3 linked regions of the Elephas maximus indicus genome follow. The protein of the gene in region 3 interacts with the protein of the main gene of each other region in a pairwise test. Links are inferred from orthologs where the notes say so. Each region holds a gene or a part of one and is shown on either strand. Other genes may lie near its edges. The genes, in order: KCTD6, ZBTB33 and CTNND1.

Region 1 (10,009 bases), on a different chromosome or scaffold from region 3:
GTGTGTGGGCTGAGAGAATGAGGGGCTACTGCAGGTGCCCGGAATGGGCAGGTTGGTTGGACCAGCGTGATGGTGGTTGAGATGAAGAGAGAGAGAAGGAGAGATGCATCCCAGCTGCACTGAGGAGGAAGACTTGGCAGGGCTGGATTATCTGGCACTAGGAAGTGAGGGGGTGGGAGGAGCCCACATGACTCAAAGCTTCTGGGCTGGGCAGATGGATGGATGGTGGCACCATTCACCGAGCTGAGCTGGGGACTCAAGAGGTTTGGGGGTGGTAAGGAGAGAGTCAGGTTTGCACATGTTGAGGGTGAGGAGACTGGTGGTGGACCATCGGAGTATGGACTATGAGGGAGGAGAAAGCCACAAAGCCAGCCGAGCTGTATCCAAATCTCTCCTCCCACGCTCAGCTGTGTGGTTTCAATCAAGTTATTGCACCTCTCCTTGCCTTGTTTTCTCATCTGTACAGTGAGATGTTATAAAAGACCTCTTTAAAGTGTTAAAAAGCAAGGCTAAGGTGCACCTAACCCAGCCATGATGTTTTCAATTGCCTCATATGCATGCGAAAGCTGGACAATGAATAAGAAAGACTGAAGAAGAATTGGTGTCTTTGAATTATGGCACTGGCGAAGAATATCGAATATACCATGGACTGCCAAAAGAACGAACAAATCCGTCTTGGAAGAAGTACAGCCAGAATACTCCTTAGAAGCAAGGATGGCGAGACCATGTCTTACATACTTTGGACATGTTATCAGGAGGGATCAGTCCCTGGAGAAGGACATGATGCTTGGCAAAGTACAGGATCAGCGGAAAAGAGGAAGACCCTCAACGAGATGGATTAACACAGTGGCTGCAACAATGTGTTCAAGCATAACAACGATTGTGAGGATGGCGCAGGACCGGGCAGTGTTTGGTTCTGTTGTACACAGGGTCATTATGAGTGAGAACCGACTTGACGGCACCTAACAACAACAACAATGGGATGAGGAGGAGGCTAATCTGTCATCAGAGTTGCTGTGAGCTTGTGGCAGCCAGTCTCCAAGATAACTCCAATGATCACCACTCTTCCTATTCATACCCTGTGTGGTTTCCTCCCACACTGTACTGGGGTTCCTCTGTGTGACCAAGAGAATGTGGCACAAGTGATGACATGTCACTTCCGAAGCTGGTTTACAAAGACATTGTGGCTTTTCTGTTGTATTCTCTTAGATCCTTCACTCTGGGGGAAACCAGCTGCCATATCATCAGGAGAGGCCCATGAGGTGAGGAACTCATGCCTCCTGATAAAGGCCATTGTGAGTGAACTTGGAAGTGAATTCTCCAGCCCTAGTCAAGCCTTCAGATGACTGCTGCCCTGGCCAACATCTGGAGTGCAAGCTCATGAGAGACCCTGGGCCAGAACCACCTACCCAATGTGCTTTCAAATTCTTGACCTATAGACACTGTGAGATAAATCTTAAGCCCCTAAATTTTGGGGTAACTTGTTATACAGCAATGGATAGCTGATACATAAGGTAAAAGCTTTTAGCCCAGTGCATGGCACATGGTAGAGGCTATAGAATATGTGGGATCTGTAGGTCTGGAGTTACAGAATTCTGGGCTGGAGGTGTGGATTTGGGAACCTTTGGCTTAGAGAGAGTAATGGCTGAGGCAGTTCATGGGTAGGGACAGAGAAGAGATTATGGCCTGGAGGTATGGTTTTGGGAACCTTTGGTTTAAAGAGAGAAATGGCTGAGCCTGTCCACGGGAAGGGGCAGAGGGAGAGGAGATTATGGCCTGGGCCTGAAACCTGGACATAAGAGGTGGGCAAAGCAAGAGGGACATCCCTGTGAGCCTGAGTGGAGGAACTTCAGAGGAGGGAGGAAAACTGGAATAGGACGTTCTGGAAGCCAAGGGGAGTAGGCAGTGGTCAATTGCATCACTGCCGAGAGGCCTCGGTGGGGCTCTTTTCGCTTCAGCAACAACAAGGAGGTTCCTGGTGCCCCCACTGAGGACCAGTTAGGTGGAGAGGTGGATCTTGTAGCCAGGTTGAATGTTATAGGTTGGGATGTTAGGCAGAAGTCAGGAAGACAGCAAAAGAAGAAAAGGAGGAGGACACTGGAGTAGCAGCCTGGGATGGGGGGAGATAGGGTTGAGGGGGAGATCTGAAAATTAACATCAGATAGAGCCCTGAAGCTGTTTATCTGCTGGTGGCAGGGGGCCTGGAGAGACGAGGGGCTGAAGATCTGAGCCTAGAGAGGTAAATGGGCTGGAAAGTGGACAGACCCAGAGACAGGGAGGGGATCACCTGGACAGGAGGCAGAATCCCTCAGCCATCCTATGAGAGGACAGCACAATGCAGGTAAACCCAGAAGTGGGCAGAGGAGGGAGGGAGCCAGGGAGCCCCCACTGAGGATGCATCATTTTCCTGCCAAGTGGGAGGTGAGGTCACCCATGAAGAGAGAGCTGGGAGGAGGGGAAGGGGGGAGACTCAGAACTTCAGGCCTAATTTCCATCTTGGTCTGAAAGCACCAAATGGTTTTGCCAACTGCTGCCTCCCTCAGTGTCCTCCTGGGCCCCTGTGCATCTGTAGCCATGTAGCTGCCATAGTAAACAGCCCCTTCCAGGCCACCTCTTCATCACAGGAGCCTGGACACTTGAAGGCCACCTGGAAAAGAGAGGCCCAAGGTCACAGGGATGGCTGCAAACCAGAAGCTGGCTTCCTCCACAGGCTAGCAGCCCTGAGCTCTGTGGGGGTAAAACAGCTTCTAGTGTAAATCTTTTCCATCCCCACCCCTTCAAACCAAGAGATCCGGACAATTTACAGGAGAATCTCACAGAACATTCAAACCACAGCAAACCCCAGTCTTATAGAAGCTGCTCTAGTAGAGAGACCCTGATTCCTTAATTTATTTTATGAGGCTCATATAACTTTGATAGCAGACAAGGAGAGACTAAGAAAGGAAAAGAGTAGGCAAAACTCACTCATACACCCAGATGCAAAAACTTGAAATAAAATAGTAAGTGGAATTTGACAGTATATTAAAAAAAAAATACACCCTCAGGGTTAGTTTATCCCAGGAATGTATGGATGGTTGGTTTAATATACAAAAATCCATGAGTGCAATTCATTATTTTAGGGGGAAAAAACCACATTTGTTAAATTTCAACACCCATTCATAATTACACTAAATAACCCAATAGCGCTTCCTTACTCTGATAAAGCAGATCTATGAGAAATCTACCACAAACACCACACTTCATGGTGAAACATGAGAAGCAGTCAAAAACAAGACAGGAATGTACACTATCATCACTGCTACTCAACACTGTGTTGGAGGTCTTAGTGCAGTAAGACAAGGAAAAGGAAATAAAGACTGGACAGGCTAAGCTGGCAAACTGTCATTGCTTGTAGGCCCTTTGATTATTTACATGGAAAATTCAAGAGAACCTGCAAACTAATTATAACTAAAAAGAACAGTTTATCAAGTTTGCTGAGTACAAGGTCATTATATAAAGCCATTACATTTCAATAAGCCATCAATAAATTATAAAATATAAACAAAAAATGTAATTTGCAATAGCAATGAAGGCTTCATCTTGGAACAGGTGTGACAAAAACACTGCCAAAGTGAATCTCTTTCATTCTTTAATTGGGAAAACAGGAGCCTCAAGAGGGGAAGTGACTCTTCCAAGAACATTCTGGATTCTCAGTGGCACCAAATCCTGAAGATTTGAGTGCTAGGTAATTTCAGTATTGTTTTGCTTTTGTAAAAAGAAAGAAAGAAAATATAGAAAATTCAGAATATTAGGAATTAATGTCCCTCACACTCCCATCCTACAACCTAGAGAACTATGATCCATGATCTGGTGTTATTTCCTTCAAAATTTTTGTCTACCTATATTTATGTTTTAACAAGATGGATTGCCACAGTGGCTGCAACAATGGGCTCAAGCATAACAATGATTGTAAGGATGGTGCAGGAGCGGGCAGTGTTTCGTTCTGTGGTACATAAGGTCGCAATGAGTTGGAACTGACTTGATGACACCTAACAACAACAACAAATTTATGTTTTTAACATTAAAATTATACTACGTGTAACATTTTGAGTACTGGTTATTTTCACACGCATTTCCCTGAGTCCTCACGTAGTCTTTTCACACGTCAATTATGTCGGCATAACTATAACACTCAATTATGTTCCCGAAGCATGTTATTTATTTAGCCTATCAATTTGAGTTTTCTGAGAAAAACCAAGTATCAGATATGACTGTGATAGAAGTTGAAACCCAGACATGCAATTCGATGAGCTTCTGAGGCCGGTGGTTGTCCTGATGGAGACGAGGAAATGGCAAAACGAAAGCCTTATAGCTGGCCTGGCCTGGGAAAGCACAGAGATCTAGATCTAGGGACAGAAAAAGAAGGAAACAGGACTTGGGAAGAGGGGGCTGAGGACTAAGTCCATGCTTGGAGACCAGCTCGCTCTGAGGCTTTAAGTGGCTTCCCAACCTCTGCAGCCTTGTCTTTCTTCTTAGTGAAATGGAGACAATACCCCCACCAGCCTCACCTTGGGCAGCTCCCAAGCTCCTTCAGAACTCAGAGCCTTTGCACTCTTTTCTCTGCTGACAGCCCTGGTGGCGTGGTGGTGAAGAGTTCGCTGCTAGCCAAAAGGTCGGCAGTTGGAATCCATCAGGTGCTCCTTGGAAACCCTATGGGGCAGTTCTACTCTGTCCTGTAGGGTCGCTGTGAGTTGGAATCCACTGCAAGGGGTTTTGGTTTTTCTCTGCCCTTCTCCCCAACTGGCTGCCTATGCTGACCCATCAGGCCTAGCTGCCCTGCCCTGCCCTGCCCTGCCCTGCCCTGCCCTGCCCTACCCATCAGGCCAGGCTGTGGTGGCCTGGGGCTTTCTCACAGCCCATATTACACCTGTAATTATATAATAGCCAGAAGCTGCTTGAGTAAGGGTGGCCTCCCCCTGGAGGTCAGGGCCAGGAGGGGCTCACCACAGATCTGGGCATCCATGTCTTCCTTGGCCACTGCATGTGAAGCAGCGGGCCCTTCCCCTTATTTTTCATCTAAGTCCTCTGATCACACCCCTCCTATCACTTACCATAACTTGTCATTATTTTGCTTACTCTCTGTTTCCTTCAGTCTTGTCTGCTTTCTCCCCTCGCTAGGATCCACCTCTGTCTTGGTGGTCGGTCCCCCCTCTAACCCCCAGGTTTTGCACATGGTCCGAAACCAAACCAAACCCGTTGCCGTCGAGTCCTACTCATAGAGACTCTATAGGACAGAGTGGAACTGCCTCATAGAGTATCCAGGGAGCGCCTGGTGGCTTCGAACTGCCGACCTTTTGGTTAGCAGCTGTAGCTCTTAACCACCAGGCCACCATGGCCAGGGGCTTATAAATGTTCACGGAGCGACTGAGGAGAAACAACCGTGGAGCCACCAAATCTCCGTGAATGGCCGGCCTGAGGATGGGCAGAGCCCCGACTGCCCGCGGGGCGGGGCGGGGCGGGGCGGGGGGCGGGTCCTCTGGGCTATGGGGCGGAGCCATGGGGCTGCGGGGCGGGGCTTTGAGGCTGCGGCGGAGCCGGCCTGACCCAGCCGCCTAGGCCCTGCCCGGCTGAGCAACTCAGGCCCCCGGGTCTCGGGCTTCCCGCGCACTGCCGCCGCTGGGGGGCGCCCGCGCTCGAGGCGGCTCGGCTCGGGAGGCGCCGCCCGCGCCGGGCGGCTAGTGCCGCAACTCCGGGTGCGGGCTCAGTCGTCCCCTCTGCCGCCGCCGCTGCCGCCGCCGGGCGCGGGCTCGCTCGTCCCTGCGCTCGCGCTCTCGGGCCGCCGGCGTCTCCCGGCCCGGCCGCCGCCGCCGCGCAGTGAGTGGGGCGGGCACGGGGCCTGAGGGGCTGGGGCTCGGGAAGGCCGGCTTGAGGGGAAGCCCGCGGGAGCTGCCGGGAGCGGGCTGAGGAGAATCTGGGCGGGGGCGTCCGGAGCCGGGCGATGGCGGGCGGCGCAGAGGGCACCGCGGGGAGCCTGGCCGCGCGCCCCGGGGCGGCGCGAGCGCACGGAGGGGCTGCCCGCGGCCGAGCGGCCGGGCCTGGGTCTCGGCGGGCCCGGGGTCCCCGCGGTGCTGTGCGGCCCCCACCCGGCCCGGAGCATCGCCCGCCCCACGTCGGGACCGGGGTCGGCTGGGGTTTCGCCTGCGGGGCGGCGGGGACCCGGCGCGTTTGCTCGGGGTGATGGGTTTGCGGGGAGTGGCTATTAGCCGGCGCTTGCCCCACTTTAAGGCGTAGGAGCCCAGGCTTCGGGAATTTTCTGCCCCGGAGACACCCAGGTGTGCCGCTGAGCCCTCTGTGCCCAGATTTGCGGGTCTGGCGTGTTTCAAGGCTTGATGTCACGGGTGACAAATGGCCGTGGTAATCGGGAGCCCCCGAACCGCCCGCCAGGCTGACGGTAGCGGGGTCTGGGTCTGGGGGTAGGACTGGGAAGACGAAGCGTGACAGATCCTATTTGGATATTCCTCTGAAGTTAGGGTTCTGTTCAAGTCTACCGGCTCTAGAACACAGTTTTAGGACTTCGTGATAGAAGAGGTTTGGGGTGGCCTGGTTTGACGAAGAATGTTTGGGGTCACCTAGCCATTCCCATCCCTCCTGGCATGTTCATTTCTTGTGTCACAAATGCATGACACGAATGATTCAGTGATAGGAAAGAACTTAGGAACAGCATTTAGCGCAGACCTGAGCCCAAGATTGAGACGTTTCCAGATGAGCGAAGGTGTAGAAAGGAAAATAATCTTTTTGTAGTCAGGGTTGGCAGATTGGGGGAATTGGCTCTTTGGTTGAAAACATCAGCCCCAACCACTACTTCAGTTTGTGTAATCCGATGGATATCAAGGATCGAGTGGTCAGCGTGGCCATGGGTGCCGTTCCTCAATTGTGTAAGGTTAGGATTTTCATAAATGACATTTTCAGCGAAGCATTACTAGCGACAGAAATCCTAGGGTGAATCCTTCTCTGCGTCTCTCTCTTGTGTCTTTTGGATTTTGATATTTAGGGTTTATTTGAATTGGAATGCACACATTATTTCGATCTGGCTTTCCCTCAGAGATAATCCTGAGTCATGCTTTAGAGAAGTTCCTGCCATCATCAGAGCTCAGACGTCTGTCTGGTGGTCTCTGGAGAAGCTGGATCCTCCTCCTTACTGGTGGTTCTCTTTTCTGGACCTCTGGGGGAAAGAAGGACCTAGTGGCGACGGAAAGCAGATTAAGAAGCGTTTTCCTCCGTATTTGTTGTTTCCATGTAAATGCTCTAAGTTACTTGTGTTCACACTCTCTGATTTCTCAATTTACCACAGAAAATTAGTTGATGCTACTGCCACTAGTATTTTTCCACTTGTATAATACTTATCTGTTTACAAGTGCCTTTGTATTAATGATCTCACTTATTTTCTCCATTTCCCTGAAGAAGAAGGTGCGTGTAGACAGTGATTTACCTTGCAGGGTAATGCGGATCCTGATCTGTTGGTTACCTTGTAGGTCAGTTTTTGCCTTTGTGGTTGTGCCTAACATGGTGTAATTCCTTTTAGGAAGTCGATATTATCCTGTTTCTTCATCTCAAAGAAACTTAGAGTAAGGAATTTTATGATTCTGTGACTGGGGTGGCTCAGCTATCTAGTATTAAGGCCACTTTTTTTTTTTTTATCTAGAGCTGCTTTCTTCTAGACCACAGGGTTGATAGAGGAGAGAGAAAAATGAATTCGTTTTAGAAAAATATCTATTTCTGCAGTGGTATGGCTATGGATAACTTAACACTCTAATCACATTCTCCTTGTGCTTCTGGCTACTCGAGCTGGCCTGTGTGAATGTTAGCCCCAAAGACTCCTTTAGATGTCGCTGAACTAGTTACTATAAAAAGTGTTTCACTTTCAAACTCCCACCTTTCAAGAACAGAGAAACTCAACACAAAGGTAATTGAAGTATGTATAGATGGGAGAGAACTTGTCTTAGTCTTCTATTCTGAATGCCAGACCCAGGAGTTTAATAGAAAGGCTTTGAAAGGACCTCTGGAAACTTGGGAAGGTGGTAGCTAGGAGTTTTTATTATTATTTATTCACATTTGGAGATGTCTGTTGTAAGGAAGAAGTTGTTAACGCAGGAGTAGGACTTTTGCCCTAGGGAATTCTGAGTCTATAGCACAAATGATAAACCCAAAATATTTGTGTTAAATTAGCTGTTCATAACCATAAAGCCGGTCATTGCAATTCTGCAGGGATGAGGAGAATGGCATTTAGGGATTCTTAGGTTATTGTCTAAGTTATCAACATGTTGAATTGTGCATTCTTCAAATTTGCTACTTTATAAATTTTTCACAATTGCTTTTACACTCTGCACTATGTGTTTTCCTTAATTACCTGCTAACATTTACTCTGTCAGAAGTTCTGTAGTCATAATTAACTTACAAAGTTCAAACTTTCAGTGCCACTTAACGTTCCTGGGGAAAGGCCAGCGGGTCGTTTCCACAGGAATTTTTATTTGCACCGCAGGTCAGAATTGCAGGCACAGATCTTTTCAGGTGAGCTGATTTTTTCAGGGTCAGAAGCCTTTCTTTGAACTTTATAATCCTTTGTGCTTAGTTGCATTCACTGTGTTTTAAAAAGATCTTTAGTAAGGAAAGTCACTATAAAGGAAAATTTTTTTTCGTTGTTACCGTCTTAATCTTCATTCCTGGCAAATTTTCAATAGAATTTTCTTTGCCATCACCAAGTAAAACAGGCCCGTTTGATGCCCACTTCAAGATCTTCCGTCTGTTGCCTCTTGTGTTCATTTGACTTCTCATTAAGCCCTCCACTGGAGACTGTGCCAGAAGAGAGAGAAGAGGAAGAGCAAATGAATCATTTTCTAATTGTTAGCAGCTCCAGAAAATGATTTAGTATGAAAGACTGAAGCGGTTCCGGAAACCCTTTTGAATTATGTTTTATTTCACTCATCGGAGCTGTCTGTTGAGCTGTTCCCAATAGTCATCAATTCAGAGACTGGTTACCCAGCTACTGGATAACCAGGAATCTTTCTGCTTTTTTTTTGGTTTGTTTGTTTCTGTAAGTTGAAATACAATTTAAACCAATCAATACTATTTTTTTTCCTTAATGGGTCTTTAGTGAGCAATTTGTTTTTTGTACAGTTTAGTCATTGTTAATAAGTGTATTTTAATATATCTCATACACAAACCTAGGGAGTCTTTTCGGTGTTTTTTAAGAAACATGGACTACTTATATAGACTCCATAATTGCTTTCCTGAATTATAAAGCTTGAGGTTTCATTACATCTTTTTTCCGGAACCTTGCCTTTTGCTGTGGAGTAGATTTAGGGTCATCATCTATTTTTCTTTTTGTGACTGCTCGAGAAGTTATCTTGTTTTGATTAAGCAGTAGAAAAGAAAAAAAAAAGGATTAATAGGTCTTGTACAAGAGTTGTAACATTGATGGTGTCTTTTTTTTTTTTCCCCCTGTCTTTGGTCTTTCATTTCCATTTAACCAATCAGATGTTCATGGGCCAGAGTTCTTTATGTCACTTAATACAAAGGACCACAGCCATCAATCACATTAGTTAGTAGGTTCCTGCCATTTCTTAGCCTTGGAGAAATTTTTATAAACCTATTATGACTACTCACATAGACTGAGTTACTGATAAATTTGTAAATAAACCCCTGCTTTTGGTTTTAGGGTGGATAGGTAGATAGGAAACCCTTGTGGTGTAGTGGTCAAGTGCTACGGCTGCTAACCAAAGGGTTGGCAGTTCGAATCTGCCAGGCACTCCTTGGAAACTCTATGGGGCAGTTCTTCTTTGTCCTATAGGGTTGCTATGAGTTGGAATTGACTCGATGGCACTGGGTTTTTTGTTTTTGGTTTAGGGTGGATAGGTTAATGAGTCGGAATCTACTCGAGGGCATTGGGTTTTTTTTAGGTGTTAATAGATGGCTGTAGGGAATCTAAAGTTGACCCTTTCAACTTCTTGTTTCTTGGATTTTCAGCTTTCAG
Region 2 (9,873 bases), on a different chromosome or scaffold from region 3:
GCACTAGTGGTTGGTGCGTAAATTTGAATAATAGTCGTATTAACTGGTCTTCCTTGTAGGCATATGGATATTATCCTATCACTGACAGCGTTGTACTTCAGGATAGATCTTGAAACATTCTTTTGGACGATGAATGCAACACCATTCCTCTTCGAGCTGTCATTCCCAGCGTAGTAGACTATATGATTGTCCGATTCAAAATGTCCAATACCAGTCCATTTCAGCTCACTAATGCCTAGGATATCGATGTTTATGTGTTCCATTTCATTTTTGATGATTTCCAACGTTCCCAGATTCATACTTCGTACATTCCAGGTTCCGTTATTAATGGACGTTTGCAGCTGTTTCTTCTGATTTTGAGTCGTGCCACATCAGCAGATGAAGGTCCTGAAAGCTTTACTCCATCCACGTCATTAAGGTTGACTCTACTTTGAGGAGGCAACTCTTCCCCAGTCATCTTTTGAGTGCCTTCCAACCTGGGGGGCTCACCTTCGAGAACTATATCAGACAATGTTCCGCTGCTATTCATAAGGTTTTCACTGGCTAATGCTTTTCAGAAGTAGACTGCCAGGTCCTTCTTCCTAGTCTGTCTTAGTCTGGAAGCGCAGCTGAAACCTGTCCTCCATGGGTGACCCTGCTGGTATCTGAATACCGGTGGCATAGCTTCTAGCATCACAGCAACACGCAAGCCCCCACAGTATGACAAACTGACAGACACGTGGGGGCTTAGTCATCTAGTGCTATTATAACAGAAATACCACAATTGGATGGCTCTAACAATGAGAAGTTTATTTCCTCACAGTTAAGTAGGCTAAAAGTCCAAATTCAGGGCATCAGTTCCAGGGGAAGGCTCTCTCTCTCTCTGTCAGCCTTCTCATCAACGTTCCCTCAGACTAGGAGTGTCTTCATACAGGGACCCCAGGTCACACTCCGCTCCCAGTACTGCTTTCTTGGTGGTATCGAAACAGGCAGTCATGAAAGGGTTATTAACCATCCCATAATAGTTGTTTTCAGAAAAGTCTACTTTTGCTACATTTTTGTTACAACTTTTACAGCACTTCATCAGGATTGCTCAAATCCCCCTTTCTTCTCTTCTCCTGACAGGAGGTTGAGGTGCAGGTGCGCTGACTCTAAATTTACCCACTATATGACCTTCCTGGGGTAGCAGTAGCAAGCAGTCTCCATTTTTTTAGGGCTCTGCACAGTATTTTTAGAGCCATGCATAAAACTCATTCACTAAAATTATGTGGACTGCACCCACATCAGAAGATTAAAGATTCTGCACTTGCTGTTCATGCATATGTATGTCACCTATAAAAGGAGTAAATGTGCCCTGCTTTGGGGAGCTGACAGCCTTAGGTCAGCAGATCCTCCCTGCCTGCCTCCCAGTTTGCAAACTGTGAATAAACCTTTCTGTTCTTCCAACCCTGCGTCTGGCTGACTTCAATTCGCTATTCTGCTTCACAAGAACCTATTAGTTGATGGCTTCAGTATGAGGTCCCCCTGTCTCTCTGTTCATTCTCTTCTATGTCTCAAAAGGGATTGCCTCAAGACACAATCCAATCTTGTAGGCTGAGTCCTGCCTCACTAACACAACTGCTGCCCATCCCCCCTCATTAACATCATTAAAAAAACCATTGCCGTGGAGTAGATTCTAACTCCTAGGGACACTATAGGACAGAGTAAAGCTGCCCCATTGAGTTTCCAAGGATTTGAACTGCTGACCTTTTGGTTAGCAGCTGTAGCACTTAGCCACTACGCAAACAGGGTTTTCCCATTAACATCACAGAGGCAGGATTTACAACATGTAAGAAAATAACACAATACCGGGAATCATGGCCCGGCCAAATTGATACACAATTTGGGGGGGAGGGTCATAATTCAATCCATGACAGCGATCTACCATTTATTGGGTCAGGAAGGCTTCATAAATAATTTAAGGCTTGAAATGGACCACATCTACCACAGCCTCCAGCAGGCTGAGTCCATAACAACTAGATGGTGCCTGGTTACCACCACCAACTGCTCTGACAGGGGTCACAAGAAAGGATTCTGAACAGAGCTGGAGAAAAACGTAGAACAAAATTCTAACTCAAAAAAAAAAAAGGATCAGACATACTGGTCTGACAGAGACTGGAGAAAGCCTGAGAGTACGGCCCCCGGACACCCTTATAACTCAGTACTGAAGTCACTGCTGAGGTTCACCCTTCAGCCAAAGATTAGACAGGCCCATAAAACAAAACAATAATAAATGGGCACAGCAGCCCAGGGGCAAGGATGAGAAGGCAGGAGGGGAGAGGGAAGCTGATAATAGGGAACCCAAGGTCGAGAATGGGAGAGCGTTGACATGTCATGGAGTTGGCAACCAATGTCACAAAACAATATGTGTATTAATTGTTTAATGAGAAAGTAATTTGCTCTGTAAATCTTCATCTAAAGCACAATAAAAAACAAAAATTCCAAATTCTGAATGGACATTTTTGAATGTAACGAGCAAGTAAAATCATGCTCTAGAAGAGAGGTCAGCATCAAGGGAAGAATATTCAGATGTTTAAAAGTTTGTTTTCAATTTCACTATACCCTGGGGCAGTAGTGGAGTGGGTTATACCCTGGTACAAAATACACGTACAGTCTATAAAAATAATAATAATAATTTAATGCTTGAGTTGGGTCTTTATGGAAGATCAGGTACTTGCCAGACAACAGGAGAGGCAAATTGTGGATAAGAATAGAATGGCTATTCCAGGCTCAGAGTTACAGGCACAGACATAGATGCAGTAAACAGCATGGCATATTCTGGGAACTGTAAGCAGTTTGACACTTTAGCTAATTCATTTAATCCTCAAAACAACCCTATAGTTGTATTTTTATCCCTACTTTACAAATGATGGACCAGGAGCAAGGTCACAGTAGTAGCATATGACACACCAGAATTCTAAACCACCCACATCTGCCCCTTGAGCCTTTGTTTTTTCCATCATACCATACAGGGGTTTCTTCTTATAATTTTCTAGTGGCTTTACCAAATCTGTGACCCTAAGCATAGCTCAGAGGAAGGGTTCTGGGACTGAATTAATGCCATTTTGAATCTTTCATCACCAACAATTAATATATATATACACACACATATATATATACATATACATATATATATATGTGTATATATTAAGCACCTGCAAGATTCTTGGCATTTTACCACAGGAGAGGGCAGTTGCTACCCTCATGGAATTCACAACCAAGTTCAAACAAGACAAGCAAACACTGACAATGCGGTTATAAAACCTGACTGATCCATTATTTGCCAATTAAAAACCTTTCTGGAATATGAAACAATTGCTATCTCCAAATCCATTTAACATAGGCTCTTCTCTTTAAAATCTACTGGGTTATTTGAAAGAGGGTTAAGCCTACAGATAAAAAGAAAGTGAAAAGTGAATTATCTTGCTCACTAGTAAACTTGTGGAGAAGTAGAAAGTTAACAAAACTTTCCAATGATCCTGTCCCAAAGACAATTATTGGGGCCACTCAAGTTTCTTGATCTGCTCTGCTTTCCTACAAATAAAATTCCTTTCCTGATCATTAAAAAAATTTTTTTTCCTGATCATTAAAAAAAAATGATCATTAGATTCCCTTTAATTATAGACAGCTTTTTTAGTTTAGCAAACCCTGGTGGTGTAGTGGTTAAGTGCTATGGCTGCTAACCAAAAGGGTGGCAGTTCAAATCCACCAGGCACTCCTTGGAAACTCTATGTGGCAGCTCTGCTCTGTCCTATAGGGTCGCTATGAGTCAAAATTGACTCGACGGCAATAGGTTTGGCTTTCTGGGGTTTTAATTTGGAGCCCCGGTGGGGCAGTGGTTAAGAGCTAAGGCTGCTAAACAAAAGGATGGCAGTTCAAATCCACCAGCTACTCCTTGGAAACCCTATGGGGCAGTTCTACTCTTTCCTATAGGGTCGCTATGATTCTGTATCAACTAGATGGCAATGGGTTTCTTTTTTTAATTTTTTTTTTAGTTTAGTTTTTGCTGTGTTGGAGGAGGGTGAGGGATATGACCAGTGGGGAAGAGGTGTCCTGTACTGTGAACGAACAGGTTTTCATTGTACCTCACCTGTTGTTTTTAGTTACTGTTGAGTTGATTCCCATTCAAGGCAATCCCATGGCAGTTGAATCCCACTCAAGGCAGAGGAGAACTGCACTCTGTGGTGTTTTCCAGGCTGTGACGTTTCCGAAGCAGGCCTCTCTTCTAAGGTGTCTCTGGGTGGATTCAAACTACCAACTTTTCAGTAGTTGAGCATGTAACCACTTGTGTCACCCAGCAACTCTGTCTCATTTTTAGTTTTGGTCAACTAAGCTACTGAAACCACCACCAAACCCACTGCCATCGAGTCGATTCCGACTCATAGCAACCCTATAGCTACTGAAAGATGGACATTTTCAGCAAGATTTTTATAAAAAAGAAGCACAGAGATTCCAACTAAAAGGCAAATAGGTGCAAATTCAAGTTTTTGAAAACGTATGCAATATTATTCTATACATATCTTTGGAAAAAGGAAATGGAGGTAGTGAGTGGCCTTAATTGTTGCAGAAGAAGCTGCTATCTGGTTCCTTAGCTGAATATGATCAATACCAAGCCTAAAGGGAAATAGTTTGTTCTCCAAATATCCATCCTGTTGCTTCATTCATCATGGTATTCAGTCAGAAGTGTGTTGCCAAAGGATTTTTTTAAAATGATGGATCTCACAACTCATTTGTTCACTCATTTAAGAATTACTGAACAACAACAAGCAGGTGGTCAGTAAACAGTTGCATCATATGGTACTCAATTAAGAAGACAGTACTTGTTCAAACACTAACTTTTTATCTTAAAAGTAATTACTATAATGTAGTTGTTTTGTTATCCTAGAACTTGAATTATCATAATGTGTTGATAAATTTTGATTATATTTATTCAGATTATACTTCAAGGTGGTTATCAGGAAACAAGGTCCTTGGGTGGTGCAAATAGTTTGCACTCGTTGTACTAACCTGAAGATGGGCAGTTTGAATCCACCCAGTGGGACCACAGAAGAAAGGCCTGGCAATCTGCTCCCGAAAAGATTAACCTGTTGTCGTCTAGTAGATTCTGACTCATAGTGACCCTACAGGAGAGCAGAACTGCCCCATAGGGTTTCCGAGGAGCGGCTGATGAATTTCAAGTGCCCACCCTTTGGTTAGCAGCCCAGTCTTAACCACTCTGCCATCAGGGCTCCTCCGTAAAGATTACAACCTTGAAAACCCTATGGAGCAGTTCTACTCTGTAACACATGGGGTCGCAAAGATTCGGAATGGACTGCACGGTAATGTGGATTATGCAGCAAACAGGCTAATAGAGCAGTTTCAAACTTGCAACAGAAATGAAAATTGTATAGGGTCTAAAAGTTTTTGGGCCCTAGAAGTTTACAGTGCCTTTTAGATTAAAGCGACAAGATTCCCTCCCATCCCAACTGCTTGCGACTGCATTATCCTGTCTTTTCCTCTTCCTTTTTCCCACCCTTTCGCCCTCCGGAAAAAGGAGATTACTCCAACAGTTTCCCAGTCTTCCTCCGCCCCTTCCGGAAAGAGCCGAAAGCCGAGTAGCGCGCCGAAGGGGAGCCACCTAGGGTTCGGGCCTTTCCGGAAGGGCCCGAACTGCGCCCGGAGGAGGAGGGAGCCTTTAAGTTCAACGCTTCACCCCCGCGTTGAGCCCTCTGTCGGCGGCTTGGGGCAGCTGTGGCAGCGGCAGCAGCGTCGACGTCGACCAAGACTGGAGCGACGTTTAAAGCAGCAGCAGGATCGCCGGGGAGTCCCGCTTCTTGTTGTTGGCGGACTCCCACCCTTCCGCGCGGCCCGAGAAGAAGCGGCGGCGCCAGGAAGCAGGTGAGGAGCCGGCCCCAGTCCGGGAGGGGCGGAGGAGCGCGCCTGCTTCCTCGGTCCCTGGGCCGCGCTGCCGTTTGCATTCTCCTCTCTTGAACCAGGAAGCGCCGGCCAGAAGCTCCCCTTCTCTGGCCCTTTCTTTGTGTGGGCCCCGGAGTGAAGGAGGGGATGAACCAGGAGGGCCGCGGCGCGGTCCCCATCGCCGTCAGGGCCCGAGGGGCCGTCCGTGCTCCGGGTAGGCCCGGGGCGTAGGGAGCCCGCCCCCGACACCCACTCGGCCTTTTCTTGCCCCTTTGCCGGCCCTTTTCTGCCCCCTTTCCTCCTCCTAGCCCCCACTTTGATTTCGAGCTTCTCTGCCGGCCCATCCTCCCCTTCCGCCCCCTTCCCGGGGCTTAACAATGCCGCCTGCTTTGCCGCGCCCCCCCCAACACCCTACCCTTCTGTTCGCCAGCTTCTACTTTCCCTGGCACCCCTGATTCTCCCTGCTGTTTGCACCTCCGCCTGTCTGTGCGAGCAGCCGTCTTTTCACGGAACTGAGGTTCAAAACCTCGGCTGCAGCCGGCTGGGTGCAAAGTGGGAAGAGGGAGGTGGAGGAGGGGAGATGGGGTTCAGCTGCCGCAGGGAGCCGCGTGTCGGATTGTTTCACCCCCTGGCCCATGGCTTTTCTCGCTCTCTTTTCCACCTTCGCTAGCCCCTCCCTCACCTACCCTCGGTCAAGGATTCGCCTCACAACGATGCAGAATGCCTTTTCCAACATCAGGTCGCAAATCTTGGGGGTGGGTTCTGACTGACCTGACGTAGAGGAGGGGAGACCTAAATAAAACAAAACCAAGTCTCAGCGTCACCTGGACGTATACATTTGACGCGTGCTTATATTGGAAAAACTCATTTGTAAATGACAGAAATTGTGGGAGCGTATTCAGAAAATGTATCCACTTGAAAAGTGACTTCTGTCGAAATCTCCGTATTTCGGAAGCCCTGGTGGTTGGCACGCTGTCCAAAGGTCACCCTTTCCAATGAATGTCTTCATGGTAACCAGGAATTCCTTGGTACTGTTAACAAGCAACACCTTCTAACAGAGAGGTTTTAAATCCTTGCTTTTTACACTTTTTGCTATTTATTGTTGTTAAACTATAATTTTGAAAAATTAAGATATTTGAGACGCACTACCTTCCACGTGTGTAGTATTACTCACATAACTTAAGCACTGTGACAGTGGCACTATTTTGGTAACTTTAAAGGGAAAGAATATTAATAGAACTGTTTCTTTGCCAAAAGTACTTAATAAACTAATTGTTAACATCTAATATGTATGTATACATACATACACATATACATATGTACGTGTATTTTTTTCCCCCGCACAACTCTCAGCATCATTGTTAGAATGTCTTTTGCGAAGTGCAAAAAAAAGCGTTTTGGGGATGATGCATGGCAATACTATAAACTGGTATTCCCTCTCCTTTTCTAAAATAATGTCTGCTCCGTTCCAATAATTTAATGTTTTCATCTTCACTACCTCATTTGATATGAAAAATGTTCTCATACCAATGCCCATAATTCTTTACCAAGAAAATAAAGTATTTCACGTTTTCATGCAAGTAAGCATTGAGAAACAGTAAGCTTTCCTTTTCCTTTGTCTTTTCACAATAGCATCTGTTGACTTGGCATTGTGTTTAACATTCCACCTCTGGAGACTATAAAGGTAGAGAGGTGAGGGGAAGGGGCAAAAGGATGAAGAAAGAGGAGACAGTAAGAAAGACATTTAATATTTTATTGAGATGAGGCACTTCATTTAAATAACAGAAAAGTAATAGGAAGTTGAAGGGTAATGATTATCAGTGTTTTTAAATGCTGATTAAGTTGTAGGCTGCGGGGAGTAGCTTTTGAATATATTCTTAAGAATAAGATTATTGTTGTGTGCCATAAAGTTGATTTGACTAATAGAGACCCTATAGGGTTTCCTACGCTGTCATCTTTACAAGAGCAGATCGCCAGGTCTTTTCACCCTTGGAGCCACTGGTGGGTTTTAACCATTGACTTTTCAGTTAGCAGTGGTCGAGCTTTTAACTTGCGACACCAAGGCTCCTAAGATAATTTGTTAAAATTTAGAAAGAATATATGTTTTGCATTCAGTTTTATATATACCAAGCTTTTCTGACTAATTGATTCAACTATAGATGAAATAACTTCTATATGTACATGATGAAGGCTTTTCTTAAAACAAATTTTTAAGAACGTTAAAATGAACCTTGAAAACATGCTGAGTGAAATAAATCTGTCACAAAAGGACAAAAATTGTATGATCCCACTTATATGAAACATCTGTGTAGGCAAGTGTATAAGTGGTTACCAGGGGTGGGTGGGTGGGTGGGAGGGAGGGAGAAAAGAAAGCACAAGGCTTGGGGGCCACTGAGCTTCTGTTAAAGGTAACAGGAAAATTTAGGAATGGATAAGGGTGATGGTCGAACAATTGAACATAATTAATGTCACCGAACTGTAAATGTGAAGATTGTTGAAATGGCAAATGTTTTGTTACCTAAATATTTACCTAAAACCAAACCCACTGCCGTCGTGTCGATTCCAACTCATAGCGACCTTGTAGGACAGAGTAAAACTGCCCCATAGGGTTTCTAAGGCTGTAAATCTTTACAGAAGCAGACTGCCACATCTTTCTCCCATGGAGTGGCTGGTGGGTTCAAACCACCTACCTTTCGGTTAGCTGCTGAGTGCTTAACTACTGCGCTACGCAGTGGCTCCTACCAATATATTTACCACAATTTAAAAAATGACCCCCCCAAAAAGTTAAAAATTAACTTTTATCTTTTTGAAAAAAAAAAAAAATGAGAAGACCCAAAATTGGGGAATAAGAAAATTAATTCTAATCTTTAAAAATTGTTAATGGGTGTATCTGAGTGTCAAGGGAAAGTGGCTATGGAGATTACTATTTGAATCTGTAGAGCAATTTAAAGCTTGTTTGGCCCTTCTCTGTAAAGTAATAAGATTTGACACGTGGTCCAAAAACCAGCCAGTATGAACAATTCATATAAAAAGCCAAAAAGTTAACACCAGCCTTCTGTTAAAGCTTAAACTATTTAATGATGCCGTGGCTTAAATTCTGAATGATAAAATACTTTTGATTTTCCTGCCTAACCCTGTCCCTCTCCTGGCCCCTCTTCCTCCCTTTCTTTTGTAGGCATGGAAGGTAGAAAACTTATTTCTGCTACAGACACTCAGTACTCTGGAAGTCTGCTTAACTCCTTGAATGAGCAACGTGGCCACGGACTCTTCTGTGACGTTACCGTTATTGTGGAAGACCGAAAATTCCGGGCCCACAGGAATATTCTTTCAGCTTCTAGTACATATTTCCATCAGCTCTTTGCAGTTGCCGGGCAAGTTGTTGAACTGAGCTTTATAAGAGCAGAGATTTTTGCGGAAATTCTCAATTATATCTATAGTTCTAAAATTGTCCGTGTTAGATCAGATTTACTTGATGAGTTAATTAAATCAGGGCAGTTATTAGGAGTTAAATTTATAGCAGAGCTTGGTGTCCCATTGTCACAGGTTAAAAGCATCTCAGGGGCAACTCAGGATGGTAACGCAGAAACCGTGCCTCCTGGTTCTGATGACAAGAACCTTGAAATACAAAAATCAAAAGATGAAGCTCAAGATAATGGGACCACTATAATGCCTATTATAACAGAGTCTTTTTCCTTATCTGCTGAAGATTACGAAACGAAAAAGATCATTGTTACTGATTCAGATGATGATGACGACGATGATGTCATTTTCTGTTCTGAGATTCTGCCTGCAAAGGAGCCGTTGCCGAATAACAATGCACAGGTCCATCCTAACCCAGGCTCTGTTGCCATTTCAGATGTTGCACCTTGTGCTAGCAGTAACTCTCCCCCTTTAACAAATACCACACCGACTCAGAAACTTCCTACTTCTATGAATCAGGTAACTCTGAGCCAAACACAA
Region 3 (10,049 bases):
GCCTGGGGGAGCCAATCAGAGAGGGAGGAGAGCTTTGGGCGGGAGGCTACGTCTTGAGGGACTTGCGGGCTGAGACGACATGGCTGGGCTGTGAGAGGTAGCGGGAAGGGCCAGCCGAAGTGGAATTCTGAACGCCACCGTCTTTTCCCTGGGCCCTCTTAGGAACACCCTAGTAGGAGGGACAGGATACTCTATTAGGGCAGGCTCAAAGCGATTGAAGAACACCTCCTTCTTCCCCTAGGAGGAGCTGCAAATAACCTTAGTCAGGCTAAGAACTCTCCAGGCTTAATGGAAGAAAAAGCCCCCATATTCTAATCTAGATATCTCCCAAGGTCAGGGAATATTCCGGAACAAGGTCGTTGGGCTACTTTCTCAATTCAGTTTTTTTACTGATTCCACATCTCGGAGAACTGGTGACCAAGAGGGTTGCAGAAATCCCCTCAGGAGTGGCCGCTGGGGTCTGTTTAGAGGTGATTTGTTTAGCGCAGTTCCTGACTGGGAATAGCTGTTTTCACGGACGATACTAAAAATTAAGGGATTGCAAGATTAAACATTTAGAATGCCAACCCGCGCTAGAAACCTCCTGGCCAGAGCTTCCGCTGTGCGCATTAGGACCCGGAGCCTGACTTCCGGTCCTGCCCTTCAGGTGTTGTACCCTGAAAAAAATGTCTGAATCCGAAGACACTGGTAGCATAGCGTGGTAAATCTAAATAGCAGCCCACCCTGAGGCCGACTGGAAGGAGAAGAGGCAGATGCCTAAGAAAAGGAGGACCTGAAAAGTAGAGAGGTGAGTAGTACAAAGTACTCAAGTATGTCTTCGTTGATAATTGCTATCTGACCCCTTTTCAGAAAGGATTTGAGATGGCAGACCCAAATATGGGAGGACGGGCGCACCTCCAAGTTAAGTAGTAGTTCTCCTAGTTTGAGGCCTTTTTTCTTAAGCCAGAAGAATAAAAGGAGCAGAAGATTTTCAGCTGCAGTTGTCATAGTTTAAAGAGGAAGCAATTCGTGAAAGGACATGAAACTTAGCAAGAGGAGGGCAGGTTTTAGATGTTGTTAACAGTATAAAGGAAAAAAGCTGACGGCAGAACAGTACTTGTTCATGGCATCCGTTCCTATAGAATCAAGACTTAGTTCAGTAGGTGGAGTCCCATATAGGTGAGTCTGTGGAAGTGGTAAGAAAAAATAGGTATACTATATCCCCTCAGAAATATATTGTCATCAGGATGAAATTAATTTTCAAGAAGTGGGGAAGAATCCCTTTTTTTTTCTTTCTTTTTTTAATCCACCACCACTGTAGCTAAATTTTGTATTAGTAGAATTTCTAAGGGAAACGATCAATGGCCATTCCAGAGCTTCAAGAATGACAAACTTTGGATGATAACGTGTAGCCAGCCACCAGAGGGTAGAAAGGAGTAAAAATATTTTGTTTTCCTTCGTGTGGATGGCCAGTGTTTCTGTGGAGTTGATTTTGTTTTCATCTCTATTCCTTGATATTTATAGTTTTAGAAGTAGATTCAGCATAGCACAGCACTTTGCATGATACAATAATTTAAATCTCTCTCAGTTCTTCCCTAATTTTTCACCATTTTAGGGTATTTTTTTTTTTTTTTTGTGTGTGTGTGTGTATGTGGTGATGGTGGTAGGTGGGGAAGTTAAACTTTGAGGGTTGTAAAACCAAGCACTGAATGTAATATTTCATGCTTTAAAAACAAAGCAAAGCAATGCAAAGCAAAGCATGCAAAAAGAAAGAAAGAAAAAAAAATTCCACAAACAAAAAACAACCCTGTGTCTCTAAAACATATCCTCAAACCCATTGTCTTCCCTCTGTTTTGACTGCTACCACCTTCATCTACTTCCCTATCTCTGTAACTTGACCACTGCAACAGCCTTTGAACTAGCTGACTTACTTTCACTTTTGACCCTCTTTAACTTGTTATATAAGCAGCCAAATCTTTTCAAAATGTGAGTTGGATCATAGCCTGTTGTAGCCCATTGCAGTGGAATTGATTCCAACTCACAGTGACCCTATAGGACAGAGTGGAACTGTCACATAGGGTTTCCAAGGCTGTAATATGTATGGAACCAGACTGCCACATCTTTCTCTGGAGGAGGGGCTGGTGGGTTTGAATTGCCATCCTTTTTGTTAGTGGCCGAGCACTTAACCATTGTACCACCAGGGCTTCCCCTCTGACCCATGTTGTTGTTGTTAGGTGCCGTGGAGTCAGTTTCGACTCATAGTGACCCTATGTACAGCTGAACGAAACACCGCTCAGTCCAATGCCATCCTCACAATCTTTGTTATGCTTGAGCCCATTGTGGAAACCACTATGTCAATCCATCTCGTTAAGGGTCTCTCTTGTTTTCGCTGCTTCATATTCTGATCCCACTTCTCCCCCGTCCTCATTTCCAACATGCTCTGCCTGGCCTAGTATGTTTCAGCCCCACACTGCAGGGATTTGTCATTAGCAGTTACCTCTGCTTACTGCTCATATTTTTCTTCTAGTGGTTGACCTGTATTTATCACTCAAATTTCAACCTAAATGTCACCCTTTCAGAGTTTGTCTCTGACAGCCAATCTAGAGTAAGCCCCAAGTCATTCACATTCCCAACAGATTCTCATCAATCTGTTTTAAATTTCTGCATAGCATTCCATTCGACATTATCTTACTTATTAATCTTCTCTTCACAGCACCCCCCACCCCAGAAGGTAAGATTTAAGAGAGCAGGAAACTTGCCTATCTTATCATTCTCCACATCTAGAAGAGTACCTGACTCAAAGTAGCTGCTCAAAATAACCCAAGTGGAACTAGTCTTTTTATTTCCTATTAACTGAGTGTAAATAATTTTTCCCTCAGTCAGTGAGTATTAATACTCGTGATGCTTTATTTGAAGATGGCTGTTTCAAATAAATTTAAATTTTACCATTTAATTATCTTTTTTTGATTTGTGTATCATTTCATTTTGAATGTTATGTACAAATTTATTAATACTAAATGACTTGTCCAGAATTATACAACTAGTAAGCAAAAGAGAGTTCATTCACTCATTCAGCTACTGCTAAATATGAGATATAAGGCTGAGCTCTAGGGATATACCATGAACAAGAAGGACAGTGGCCGTGTCTTTATGGACTCATCTTTTGGGGGAGAGACAAGAAAACATACTCATGCATTCACACACACATAAAAACATGGAAAAAAAAGACAAAATACTTGAAAGTTTTGAGTAATGACATGTGTAAGAAGTAAACAAGACTAATCCGTCTCGACAGTGAGCTGGGCTACTAACCAAAAGGTCAGCAGTTCAAATCCACCAGCTGCTCCTTGGAAACCCTGTGGAGCAGTTTTACTCTGTCCTATAGGGTCACTGGGAAACCCTGGTCGCATAGTGGTTAAGTGCTATGGCTGCTAACCAAGAGGTCAGCAGTTCAAATCTACCAGGCGCTCCTTGGATACTCTATGGGGCAGTTCTACTGTGTCCTGTGGGGTCACTATGAGTCGGAATCAACTCAACTGCAGTGGAGTGGGTATAGGGTCGCTGTGAGTCAGAATTAATGGTAGTGGGTTTGGGTTTTTTTTTTTTAATCAAGCTCTAGAAAATTCTGTATAAAATATGGCTGTCATCTAGGAACCAATGAATAAACAAACATTTCTCTTTCTGATTGTTTCCTTTGATTATCATCTTTGGCTTTGGAACTTGCTATAGAGGACCAGGAAACCCTGGTGGTGTAGTGTTAAGTGCTGTGGCTGCTAACCAAAAGGTCAGCAGCTTGAATCCACCAGGTGCTCCTTGGAAACTGTATGGGGCAGTTCTACTCTGTCCTATAGGGTCACTGTGAGTCAGAATCGACCCAATGGCAACAGGTTTTGGTTTATAGAGAACCAGGAATAGATGGAGAGTAGAGGTAGAAGTGGGGCCCGTGTGGCGCAGTGGTTAAAGCACTCAGCTGCTAACCAGAAGGTTGGCAGTTTGAACCCACTAGCCGCTCCTCAGGAGAAAAATGTGGCAGTCTGCTTCTGTAAAGATTTACAGCCTTGAAAACCCTGTGGGGCAGTTCTACTCTGTCCTCTAGGGTTGCTATGAGTTGCAATTGACTTGAAGACAGTGGATGTGTTTCTTTTTTTGGTTTAGAGGTAGAAGATATGAGAGAAGATTCTTAGATTATGTGTTAAGGACTATTTATTCTTTGTTATAATGTACTCATTTCCTACTATTCTTTGTTTAAAGCTCGTCAAACAAGTGCTGTGATGCGTGGTTGATCTTCCAACACTTCTGAAAGAAATCGTTTTGGGCCACTACAGGCCAAATATGAGGGTCTGTAGGACTCTAAGGAGCCGTAATGGCACAGTGGTTAAGAGCTAACCAAAAGGTCAATGGTTTGAATCCACCAATTGCCCCTTGGAAACCTTGTGGGGCACTACGAGTTGCAATCAACTTGACAGCAGTGGGTTTTTGGTTTATGAGAATCTATACCAAATATGGGGGGGGGGGAGTTAGCTAATGACTACATCAGCTTGATTAGAAGGGCACAGTCATGCTGAGGGGGAGTGGAATTCCTGTTTAGACCGATAAGGAAAGGTCAGATCATAGTTAATAGTGTTACTTTAATGTATTGAAAGAATAAATGTGATACCATGAAAGCAGATGAGGAATTTGGCCTTTATCCTTAGGACAGTGTAAGGTGATGGAAAGAGCACAGCTTTGGAGTCAGATTGATGAGGGGTTCACTTCTTCACCACATGAGCTCAGGCAAGTTGCTTAACCTTGCTAAGCCTTGATTTCTTATCTATAAAATGGAGGTAATACTATCTCCATTGTGCTGTTTTAGACATTCGAGACAATGAGTGCAAAGTGCCTCTTACATGATAGACTGTCAATCATTGGTTGCTATTATTGGGCAATGGTAAGCCATTGAAAGTTTTTGGACAGGGTAGTAATAATAACTCATTCTTAATGAGTTTATACTATATGCCATACATTGTTTAAGAACTTTAACTCTCACAGTAATCCTGTGAGAGATATACAGTTATTATCCCCATTTTATAGTTAAGGAAACTGAGGCTCAGAGAGATTATCTAACACGTCCAAGGTCACATAGCAGTACACTTAGTCGAGTAAATACGTGTACTTACAGAGATAGACCTTGAAGCTAGGTGGTCTACCTGCAGAACCTATGCTCTTAACCACTATTATAGATTGTGAAAACTTTATGAAAAAGATTAATTTGGCTGCAGTCTACAGGGCAGAGTTTGAGATTCTTCAGTAAGAAAGAAAAAGGAAATCTTAATTCATCATTAGTCACTGAATGATGGTAAAATACTAATCTTTGTCAACCATATTTAAAAAAAAATTCAGCCCTTGCCCTTCATGGTCTTACAGTCTAAGGACATATTAAGAATATCTCTTAACTCAGAAGAGGAATACCCCTATAGTCCTTTATTCAGGTCAAGTGTCAAAAGACAATGTATGAACATCATCTTGAGCTTGGAGTTCACACTGAAATAGAATTTTCTTCACGTGAGACTTGGTCTTCCTTATACATGCTGTATTCCCTCTAAATATATTGCTCAGTATTGGATTCCGTTTACTTTTCCTCTCAAACCCACATTATTTTGATTTGGGGTCAAATGGGAACACAGTGATATTACTTAGCAGCCCAGTGGATTCAGCGCCCTTCTAGTTGAAACTGTAGAGACTAAACACTGTTAACAAGCCCAAGCATTTATTTTTTTCTAATTAGCTCTAATGCAATTAAACCAAAACATTGAAATTGAGAGTTTACCTCCCAGATATCCCCTCCCCATCCCATTGGCACACAGTAGTCCTGTTGTGAGGATTTGTCTCTCCTTCCCTTCCGGTCTTCCTTTGAGGTAGAAAGCAACAAATGAAACACCAGCAGGCAAATAAAATCAGCTCTTTTCTGTTTCCCCACCTGGAAAGGAAGGGAGAGGGAGCAAGAACCCAACCATCAAAGATAACTGGCTTGGATGTGCCATTCTTAGAAGCCCTTGTTCCCTCGCCCCCCGCCCCCCCGAAGCTCTGCAGTAATTCCTCGGAGATTGTATAGTCTCTGCTTTAAATATATATATATGTATAACTTCCCCCTGTCTCTTTCTCTCCTCCTCTCTCTCTTTTTTTAATTTCCTATAATAAAGTTTCCTATTGGATAAGGTCAGCTCCCTGATTTATGCCTGGCTCCTATTGGAAGTTCTCAGGGGCTGACATCACTTAGGAAAGCGAGGGGGTAGGGCTGCCAGATCAGTTTGTCACCACCCAGGCTCCCTTGCCTTTGGCTGGGTGCAACTTCCATTTTAGGTGTTGGATCTGAGAGAAAAAAAAAGAGAGAGAGGGAGAGAGAGAAAGAAGAGCAGGAAAGATCCTGAAAGGAGGAAGAGGTGGCGAAAAATCAACTGCCTTCCTGGATTTGTCTTTCTCAGCACATTGGCGAAGCCTTGGGTTTCTTTCTAAAAGGATTGGTTTATAGAAGTCCACGTTTGAGGTGTGTGCCTTTTAAAACAAAAATGTGTTACAGAAGGGGAACGGAGGGTAAACCAGTCGAATTTTTGTTTTATGGTAACCAGAGGGAATTTAAAAACGAGAGCGAGTCTGCTATGCTGAGGGGTGACTTTTAAGCAATTATCTTTTTCTTTCTACCTTCAGTACTTTGGGAGATTTTAGTATTTTAGTAATATTAAAAAAAGGCAAAATATGCAAGACCTGGAAACAAACTTCTAGGTCTCTCTAATACAAGGAGACTCTAGATCCAGAGGGGTAAGAGCAGTTCTGTAAATTTACATTTTTGTGTGTTCTTTGATTTTGTATTTTTTTTTTTCTGGATTTAGCTAACATAGTTCTGTGCTCAGAGCCCAAACCAAAAATTGGTTTTTTGGCATGTTGCGTGTGGGTTGGGAAAGGAATTTGTCCGGGTTGGGAGCTAGTTTTACAGATGGTTCTTCATATGTTTCAGAACTTCTTTTTTTGTTCTTTTATCGTTGAATTTGTGGAAGTGGAAAGTTGCAGGGAGCTTTGCAGTGTAAATGGTGGTGTTTTCTCCCCGGAGAGTTTGAACGGCCCAGATCGGTTTCTGCCCTGCTGTTCCTGGGTGGATCCGCCTTTTACTTTTCCAGGTGCGGTGGGTGGGAGCCTTACTCCTGCTAGACGGAGCCTCCCTGTTTTGCCTTATAAAAGAAAACAAATGGTTCCATGTTAACTGAATTGCCATCCCCGCCTTCCTCCTACAACTCCTTTGATGGCAGAGATTTGTGGAGGTGTTGTATGTTAAATCTGCAAATACGATAAACGTTTGGTATATGTGCTTAAAGGGATAAGGAAATTCTAATCATGCCTTTTAGTTCACCTGAGTAAAGTAACAACACACCTGAAAGTATTTTCAGCTTTGTGCTCTCTGAGAGGGCAACGGATTAAATAAGGTTAGATTAAGAGAAACCACTTAAACAAACTTTAGTGTTTAAAATGCATTTGAGAAAGCCCAAGGAGAATTTGTTTTTAAACCAAACAGAAAGTTGTTTTTTGGAGGTGAGTTTTTTGTCTGGTTAATTTACCATGAAATCAGAAATGTGTAAGAGCTGAAGGCCCATGTCTGCTTTCTTATACTTAATCTTAGGATTTGTTTTGTTTTTGCAAATATATTCTTACAAAAATACTGGTTCTAGAGAGTTATATAGGTAGCTCATGAAGAGCTGAAAAGTGGGACGTTCTCTTCCTTCTGTCTCTGAAAATGCTAATCAGTCTGAAAATTACAGCTGGAATAGATACTGCTCTAATGGTAACAAGATGGGCCTTAATGTGTAGACTGCTCATTAGCTTTAAGCTGGCATGTATCTTTAATAATTCCCTGATTCTACCCCCTGCTTCCCAATTCTAGAACACTTCCTTGGATTTCTTTTTAATAGAATGAGGGTATTTCTTGAAAGATGACTCATCCTTCTAACGTTGTGGTTTCAGAGGAAACAGAACTTTGTTCCTCTTTTTGATACAATCTACACAAGGACTATAGCAAAGGTTTAATGCCTCGATCTCATAATTGTACCAAGTGCAGTTAAAAAAAAAAAGACAACGTGTACAATCTGTTGGGCTGGAGTTCTTGTTTAATATTTTCTAAATTTTCTTTCCAGTGTTCTATTTGCCTTGACACCAGCCTAGGGAGGTTTCTTGTTGGTCTTTGGAAGGTTGGTCATGTTGCTGCCAGAGTGTCGGTTTCCCACTCAGCCTTTAGGGGGAGGGATGAGGGAATCTGAAGGAGTACAAAGGCAATTTGAAAATAGGTTCTGGATGACTGAGTGGTGGTGATTTGGGTCTGGCTTTAAATACTGGGCTTTGTATGGAGTATCCTAGATAACAAGCATCCAGAACCGTTTCTACCAACTGAAGGCTTTGCTTTGACTGGTGTGTAGTATAGAGCCTTTTGGGTGATAAGAGGGAATATTTATCTTTTACCTCACTTCCATTAGTTCTTTCGGGAAATATAGTATGGGGTGGGGATAAGTAAATCTTTTACATGTATATATATATATATATACACACACACACACATGCGTTTGTTTTGTTTTGCTCCTCGTTTTGCTTTTGGGGTAAGAATGAAGACAAATATGAGTTATGCAGATTGTCCTTTCCTCGTTTGACTCCTATAGACTGTTGGTTCCTTTGTTACATGTGTTCCAGGTGGGATGGGTGCCTTCTGGGAGGTGAGAGTTCTAGTTTCTTTCTTAGGGTTCCATTTATGGAGAGTCAGACGAGAACATGATCTCTCAGCTAGCACAAAATTGGGACTATGGGAGACCTATTAAAAAAACAAACAAAACTCCAAGCAATTTCAATCCAGCCTTAGGTATATGAGGTATTTGCTCTCTAGGGGTGGTGAGATAGGATGGATACAGATAAATTAAACATAGATCACTATCAGTTGGAATAACAAAATGATTACCTCCGTATAATTTATTGCCTTCTATTTTGGTACCTGATGATCCCGTTACTAACCTACCCACCTTTTTTTTTTTTTTTTGAAGAACTATGGCTAGCATTTTACATGTACTATTAATTCCCTACAACATCCGTTTTTTAAGAAAACTGAGCCTCAGAGAAACTTGACGTTTGTTGAAAATCTTTACAAAGTCCATGGACTTAACCACTAATACATTGCCATTCTCTAGAGAAAAACAGCCAGAACTAAAATGAGCCCTTGCTAGTCTTTGCTAGTCTTCCAGGTTGGGGTAATGTATGTAAAAGATCTGTTTTCCTTAAAGCCTATGGCGGCTAGATATGCTAGAGTGGATATTATTTAATTTTTTTGGAACAGATCTTTCCAAATATGTACCATTACTGTCCTAATTTCTTAAACTCCCCAGAAATGCCTCAAAGTCATTTGATCATCGATGGAGTTTTCTTTTTTCAGAGGATTTTCAGGCATGTGGTTTGGAACGATTTTGCCAATTTGCTAGGAGAGTCTTATAGCAGGTAGTTCAGGTAGTGTATGTATTGTACTGTATTATAATTGTCTACTCATTTTTGACTTTTCTACTATAATGTGAGCTACTTGAGTGTAAAAAAAAAAAAGCCAAACCCAGTGCCGTTGAGTCGATTCCGATTCCGACTCATAGCGACCCTATGCGACCCTATCTATAGGACGGGGTAAGACTGCCCCGTAGTTTCCAAGGAGCACCTGGTGGATTCGAACTGCCGACCCTTTGGTTAGCAGCTGTAGCACTTAACCACAATGCCACCAGGGCTTCCGCTTGAGTGTAGGTACTGTGTTATCTCTGTATCCTTTTAGCACCTATCTTAACGTCTGGTACACTAAGCGAAGTGCTTAGTAAGCCTTGGTTAAATAAGGCACTTGATGAGAATCAGAGATTTTTGTGGGTCAAGGCTGAAAGGAAGTTGAGATTGGGAAGCAAAACAATATAGATTAATAAACTTGTAATTTTGAAACTTTTGCTTTAGTCTGTAGTTTCAGCCTTTCTTTCACACGTCTCCTCCCTTCTATTTTTTGAGCAAAGTTTCTGGAAATTATTGATAAACTGAAAAAT

The links.
Region 1: the proteins of CTNND1 (region 3) and KCTD6 interact in binary tests that used the Homo sapiens proteins (3 or more experiments, as listed by UniProt). The two-hybrid records come from large-scale screens. The link is inferred for Elephas maximus indicus from reciprocal best matches to the Homo sapiens genes CTNND1 and KCTD6.
Region 2: the proteins of CTNND1 (region 3) and ZBTB33 interact in binary tests that used the Homo sapiens proteins (3 or more experiments, as listed by UniProt). The link is inferred for Elephas maximus indicus from reciprocal best matches to the Homo sapiens genes CTNND1 and ZBTB33.

Annotation. Positions count from the first base shown.
Region 1 is NC_064838.1:63,070,885-63,080,893, forward strand, and holds the start of KCTD6 (BTB/POZ domain-containing protein KCTD6), read left to right. Parts: upstream 1-6,096; 5' UTR 6,097-6,859; coding exon of another isoform or gene 6,860-6,919; 5' UTR 6,920-7,047; coding exon 7,048-7,275; intron 7,276-7,681; exon of another isoform or gene 7,682-7,837; coding exon of another isoform or gene 7,838-7,942; intron 7,943-8,518; coding exon 8,519-8,547; intron 8,548-10,009. UniProt on the Homo sapiens protein: Probable substrate-specific adapter of a BCR (BTB-CUL3-RBX1) E3 ubiquitin-protein ligase complex mediating the ubiquitination and subsequent proteasomal degradation of target proteins.
Region 2 is NC_064846.1:36,474,543-36,484,415, reverse strand, and holds the start of ZBTB33 (transcriptional regulator Kaiso), read left to right. Parts: upstream 1-5,526; 5' UTR 5,527-5,895; intron 5,896-9,088; 5' UTR 9,089-9,090; coding exon 9,091-9,873. UniProt on the Homo sapiens protein: Transcriptional regulator with bimodal DNA-binding specificity.
Region 3 is NC_064825.1:119,133,691-119,143,739, forward strand, and holds the start of CTNND1 (catenin delta-1), read left to right. Parts: upstream 1-6,255; 5' UTR 6,256-6,502; intron 6,503-10,049. UniProt on the Homo sapiens protein: Key regulator of cell-cell adhesion that associates with and regulates the cell adhesion properties of both C-, E- and N-cadherins, being critical for their surface stability.